2 linked regions of the Solanum lycopersicum genome follow. Each later gene encodes a partner of the first gene's protein in a complex. Links are inferred from orthologs where the notes say so. Each region holds a gene or a part of one and is shown on either strand. Other genes may lie near its edges.

Region 1 (2,647 bases):
TATAGAAAGAAAACCAATGCAATACTATGTTGTCTTTATCAACAAAAAAGATCCAATGTAATCCTGTGTTGTCGTACATTTCAGTAACTAGCTCGGTTTCTCAGATAAAAGGTTCAAATCTAACCAGAAACACCCAATGAAACTAGAAGTGCAGTATTTCTTTGAATTCGAATGATGGATACTTGCTTATTTGGATTGGTTTCTGCTTCCTTCCTTCTTTAAAAATGTGTGTAATTCTGCAGCCCAGGCTGACTGCTAAATTGGATCAAATTAACGCGACTTAAATAGAGGTGCATAAAAGCAACCACAGATTATCCCCGTTGGTTTTGTCTAGTGGTAAGAGCACAATGTGTGATGTGTGGGTTAGACACGTGAAGAGATCGAACCTTCCTATGACAAAAGCGTGGTATTTAACTGAAGAAAGGTAGAGAGCGGGCACATTATCCACATACGCTCAGGGATGTCTTGGTTATCCCCTCCAAGAAAAAAAAATAGAGGTTTAGCACGTAATTCAGACATGCTATGTCCAAACCAATAGCAGATTAAAACGGCAACATGGACATGATACCCTGTGTAGTTTCTTTTTTTTAAAGAATTAATTCTCCATAGAAGGTGCATCAACAGAATATTCTTCTGTTCTGGGATCTGACAAGATACTACTAGGCTACAAATGAGGCCTTGTCTACCACAGGAAAAAAGAGAAGCAGTGTAGCTTGTCAAGAGACATATTTTAGTGTTGGATTGAAGTATTTCCATCAAACGCTAAGCATCTTCTAATTCATTAAAAAGGATCTTCTAAGCATATCCTAGTTTGTTTTCTGATAACCAACTTTCCCAGGTGTAGAAAGACTATGCTCTTGGAATACAATGTGTAATCAAAATAGATGCAGGTCTACATACCTGTCTAGCAGCTGCAAGGTTAACATTGAGAATAGCCATCTCTTGTGAAGTCCCTTGACCAAGCACACAATGTCCACCATTTACATCGATGGAGACTAAAGCCTCTGTCTGTTCGATCACTAAATAACCTCCATTATCAAGGGGAACCCTGCAAATTTTATAAATCAAAGGATTAAGGAGGAATATCAATGAAACATGAAACGTTTTGACTCACGAGAAGTTAAAATACATGTCATAAAAGACATAAAGCTAAAAGAAAGAAACAAAGTGATCTCCACCTTTTGCTGAGAATGTTGTTTATTTCTTCCTCAATGTTGTATTCATCAAACAGGGGAGTTCTTGTACCATGCAACTCAACTCTTTCACAAAGATTAGGTGCCATTTCTTGAAGATAGTTTGTAACCTGAACAGAGTCCAATATATCTATATTAAGGTACACCATAATTTTAAAAAAATTCCTCAACCAATTTTAGCCCACAGGTAGTGGAACACAAACCGCGACTATTTGGTGTATGACAGATCTCCAAAATAACTTTTGCAGAGTTGGAATAAAAGAGGACACAACAAGACGACAAAAGTTGTGGAACACTATGCCGCGACTATATGCTGAACTGTGTGAAGCGAAAGGAATCAGGACACTTAAAGTCAAAAAGGAAAATATTTGTAACTTAAAGCACAAATGCCCTTATAGTTTAAAGACGAAAATCAATGTCATCAGTTCTATTCATAAGAACGTAATGTACTGAGATACTAATTGCAGTGCTACTCATCATTGCACACACTGGGCGCTATTCTTAAACAAGCTAATTTTACTTCTTAAATGTTTCATTAACTTGGGTTTAATTTAATCCAAGATAATCTCATTCATAGCCAGTATATGCAAATCTTCATACCAAAAACCACTCACTATTGTAAAACCGCTTCCATGTGAAAAATCAACCTAGAGGAACATTAAAGCAAGAGAAAGACATGCAATCATGCTTGTAGGTCAAAAATCTTTTCATTCCATTGACTGATAACTGGCTAAGTCCATACCTCATGATATGTCCTTGGAGAATCAACCACCAAACTATTCACCTGAAAATCAGTGCTAGAGTAAGAAAGTAAAATTGTGTTTTCATGCTAATTTGAGAAAGCCCATGAACAGAAGTTGCCTAAAAAATAAAGAACTGAACAAATTATGAAGTAATGACCCGAGAATGAGCAGACCTTATCGCTAAAATAATCTTGAACAACAGAAAGTGTTTGGCCCATTGCCTGGTGAAGCATGACAGGAACTGCTCCATCAACACCTTCATCTGCGGCAAGAGCTGCAGACTTTGCATGCTCAATTATACTTTTCCAAGTTGAAAGCAACCCTTCCAAGTCCTTCTGCAATTCATTTAGTGAATGACCAGCTGCAACTGTCCTTACTGTAAGACCATATCCTTGAGGCTGTAAAGTTTTTGCAATGACCCTTAAACGTGTGCGCTCAACACCAGCAATCTTCTTTGAAATACCTATCGTGTTGCCGCGAGGAACTAAAACCTGGGAAGAGGAGAACCAATTAGATTGGGTTTTCTAATAATGGACTTTCAGCTGTAAGACACAGAATACATGATCATGAAACATGTAATACCCAGAATCTGCTCCTTAATTTCGGATAAGCAGTCAGTGTTGGGCCCTTCGTACCCAATCCTTCTTTAACAACTTGCACAATTATTTTAGTGCCTTTTCGGACCTGGACCCACTTGCTTTCATCTCTTTG
Region 2 (4,121 bases), on another chromosome or scaffold:
GCTGTAGTATGCAAGTTTGGGACAACCTGTAAAGATTTTCAATGATTCACTTTTATTCAGGCTGAAGCCAATTGACAAAGAGAGGAATTTTCAGAAAATTATTTTGAGGGATTTCTTTTCATTTGTCTGAACCATCACTAAAGTCGCAATAAAGAGTAGATATGAATCCATAACCTTGAAAATATAATAGGTACAACGATAAGAACAATAACACTTGAACACATTTAGGGTGTGTTTGATACAAAGAAAAATATTTTTCTAAAATATGTTAACTTGAAAAATAATTTTATTTCTAACTTACTTTTTTATGTTTGGCTGATAGTTGAAAATATTTTCGAGAATATTTTTAGTGTTCGGCTGGTGAATGAAAAAAAAAATTTGAAAATATCTTTTTATTTTTGGCTAGCGAGTAGAAAATATTTTTAGGAAAATAGTTTACGACTCAAAAATCAATCTCGATGATCAATCCTGATTTGAAATGTGATCGTGAGATCTGACCTAGGACCTGTCTCAAGCTTTTTGATCTGAGATATGACATTTGAATTGGGATTCAACCGTGACACTCAAACTTAGATACAATCAATATTACAGTAGAATTGGAAAATATTTTACTTATTTTTTAAAAAAGAGTCATTTTCCTTAAATTTGAGGAAATAACTTGATTTGCAAAACGTTTTTCAAAACATTTCTTGAAGAAAGTAGCCCTTTTCAAATTTCGGCTAGGGCATTTCTTTCCTCAGCGATTCAATAGCTTTTGTAGTTTTGCCGACCCCTTCAATGAAAGCAAATTTTAGCTCCCTGGTCTTTCACATCAACTTCTACAAGTTCAACGATTTCTGGTTCACCAAGTCACAAATTGTATTGCATATGATATGAAACTCAAATTTAAGTATTTTAAAGACAATAATAGCTAGTGTTAGGAGTTAAAAAGGATGGTAATTTCACATATAATTACGTAATTAATTATTTTTCAATCATAAAAATTACTACTACATTTTGAGATACCAACTAAAAAATCACAAATTTGAAAAACGCTAAAACTTTCCAATGTTCACTCTTTTTTCCAAAAGAAATCTAATAAATAATAAGCCAATTAAAAAGCTGTGTTTCGATCCGATCAAATCCAAAATACATAAAAAAAAAAAATTGTAAGAAATGAAAACTATGAGGGGGTAAAGTGATAGATTTCAAAACCAAAACGGACCGCAATTAACTAGATTTTGAAATTTCATACTTTGCCTTTCTGACCCCAGAAAAATGGTGAATATATAAAACTTCCCCTTATCAGTGTGCAAGATATATAAAAACGTAACAAGAAGCTTAGTAGAAAGGCGAAAATCGAAAATGCGAAAGTTTGATTGAGACTGCAAAACTATTTCTTATGTTTTCTCAAATTCCAAAAATGTCAAGCGCCATTGATTTCACTCTCAAAAATCTTCCAGGTAATTTTTTTGTTCTGTTTATGTTCAATATGCAAGAGCTCCACGTTGGGTTGGGCATGAACATGCACACTAACTGTTTGAGTTAATTTCTCAAAGAGACAAAACATTAATGAAGTCTTTTCTTTTGATTGAGTGGATACAAGAATGCTTCGTTTTATCACTTTTGGTGTCCTACGGGGTGTCTACAAGGTGTTTGATGAAATGTTTCTGTTAAAAAAGAGGTCACTTTATTTAGTTTGGATCTTATTAACGGCCTAGCTATGTCGGAACACTATCTAATAAAGAGAATAACTACTGCAAACTACTCCTCTTTTCCATGTTAGGTGAATTGTTACGAATTTGTTCATAATCCAAAATAAGTGAATCCTTCAAAGTTTAAGGGAGTTGTTGAGACTACTTGATATTTTCTAAGAAAGAATAGTTTGGAAATAATCATAAGGGTAATAGTGATAACTAGTCTTTTATTTCATACATAACTAGTTGAGGTCGGCTACTTCAATTCTTTATATCCATTTTGCTCTGGTTGGATGCTTTCATTATGATGCTTAGTAGTTTGTCATTTAACAAAGAATTGAATGATGTTTATTATTGATGCTATTGATAAATAAATACATAAGCTAGAATTCCTTGAGTAATTCAGTGTCAAGATGGTTTATTTTTGGCTGCATTTGATTCGGCTAAAGTGGTGGAACTGTTTTAGAACAGTTTGAGCAGGTGGTTTCATTTGCAATGTTCTTGGAATAGTTTAAATGTGAAGGTTTTTCTAGGTGCTGTGGGGTTTTGAGGTGGCAAATATGCAGGATTATTGGTGTGTATGGCAACCTATTGGCTTTTCTTGGAGTAAAGTTTTTCTTTTTTTCAAACTCTCCAATTTCCTATTTAGTGGAACTTATATTTTGTTCCGATTCTTTTTAGTTTCCAGACCTTTCCAATTTACTTTAAGTTTCAGTAGTTCACACATCAGCTTGGTCACACGTAAGCATAAACTAAGAAAATCTCATAGATTCCCTGGTCATGCCAAGAACTCTTCCAGCCTCTTTTTCTTTCCGTGAGGTGCTAGCAGTGTCACCGATCTTGTCTTGTTCACAATGTATTTCCATAAGCCCCATTTTTCGTTGCTTTTATTCTATTTCTAGAACTCTTTGCCCCTCTCATTTTAGTGTATGATATGTGCATCGTTGGTATTGATTGACATGGTGACGTCAGGGTTATTTTCATTGCAATAGTCGTTTCTGTTATTTTTAATACTACTAATTCTTGTAGTGACAACAGTTATATCATTTTTAAAATGCAAATGCTTCTTATAGAAGCAGAATTAATGACTTTTTAACTTCTTATTTGTAGATAGCTTTAGGACATATGATACATAAAATGTTAGGCATAGGAGGGAATCTTATATAACATTGTACAGCTATCCCAAAGAGTGTTCTTGAATCGGTAAATGGAAATGCTTACTTGGAAGAAGATCTAAATAAAGTAACTTTTCTGAGATTATGCATCTTATCCCTATACAGTTGTGATCCTATTCTTTAGTCAACCTTTCACATGGAGCTCAACATATTTTTAAGCTTCAGCTGCAATGTAAGTGCATCAGTCGTGACCAACATGTTGATCATTCCGTTGACAAAGAAACAGCTATTTAGTAACATTCTCTTATGCATAAGTTCTTTTTTTTTCTTTTTGTATCTGTAAAATCGAATTTAAACACTTACATATGTGCTATTTAGAAACATTCTCTTATGCATAAGTTAATTTCTTTTTGTATCTGTAAAATCGAATTTAAACACTTACATATATGCTATTATACTATTTCAGGGTTTAAATCCCCAGAAGGCAGATGTCTTCCCTGCTCAGGACTGTCTGGAAGGACAGTCACTTCTCGTGGTGAATATCAGCAATTTTCCAAGGTCAAGATTTTAAACTTGAAATCTCCTTACAAAAGCACATCTTATATGTGTAGTGCTAGTAGCTTCAGCAATCATAAAAGAAATCCAGATTTTTCGAGGCAAAACAAGCATGGTTTCTCCAGGGGGCGGAACAGGCAAAATGAAGACAGAGATGGTTATGAAAATATAGAAGAATCAGAAATGATATCTTCAAGAAATGGGCCACTGCTTACTACATCAAACACTTCGAAATTCCAAGCTACAGCCACTCCAGGTCCAAGGGAAAAGGAGATTGTTGAGCTATTTAGAAAGGTCCAGGCTCAGCTTCGGGAAAAAGCTGCTATCAAGGAGGAGAAAAAGTCTGAAGAGTTGCAAGGAAAGGGTAAAGAGAGTGAAACTGTTGATTCCCTTCTCAAGCTTTTAAGGAAACACTCAGTTCAGAAAGGGAAGAAAACCAGTAGCAGTAGAAGTAGCAACTTTGTCCTTGACCAGCCAGATAAGAGCAATGTATTCTCTGAAGAGAGAGCTAGCAATCTCACTGAACTAAATAGCAATGTGAACCATGTGGCACAAGAAAGTGGCACCCCATTTGTTAACCGACCTAAGTCAAACTTCCAGCGTAGATCTCCAGTTCCGCGAATCAAATTTCAGCCTATTTATCACGAGGGAGGTACTGATAACCCTGTTGCCTCTTCTGCTACAGATAAGATGGAAAATGACATACATCTGGACCTTGAACTTGGGCAAATTCCCAGAAGTAAGGTTGATTCTGACACTGAGACTATTTTCTCAG

The links. The genes of interacting proteins can lie anywhere in the genome.
Region 2: ribonuclease E (region 1) and termination factor RHON1-like protein share a complex: the UniProt entries of both Arabidopsis thaliana proteins name them as parts of the chloroplastic degradosome-like complex. The link is inferred for Solanum lycopersicum from reciprocal best matches to the Arabidopsis thaliana genes RNEE/G and RHON1.

The regions. Positions count from the first base shown.
Region 1 is NC_090801.1:62,866,231-62,868,877, reverse strand, and holds part of ribonuclease E, read right to left. Parts: coding exon 2,519-2,647; intron 2,428-2,518; coding exon 2,110-2,427; intron 1,978-2,109; coding exon 1,936-1,977; intron 1,304-1,935; coding exon 1,179-1,303; intron 1,049-1,178; coding exon 901-1,048; intron 1-900. UniProt on the Arabidopsis thaliana protein: Involved in intercistronic processing of primary transcripts from chloroplast operons. The endonucleolytic activity of the enzyme depends on the number of phosphates at the 5' end, is inhibited by structured RNA, and preferentially cleaves A/U-rich sequences.
Region 2 is NC_090808.1:61,806,837-61,810,957, reverse strand, and holds the start of termination factor RHON1-like protein, read left to right. Parts: upstream 1-1,298; 5' UTR 1,299-1,381; coding exon 1,382-1,442; intron 1,443-3,257; coding exon 3,258-4,121. UniProt on the Arabidopsis thaliana protein: Binds to and supports processing of specific plastid RNAs. Associates via its C-terminal Rho-N domain to single stranded regions of 16S and 23S rRNAs or to rbcL mRNAs. May be involved in targeting transcripts to RNases such as RNE or RNase J.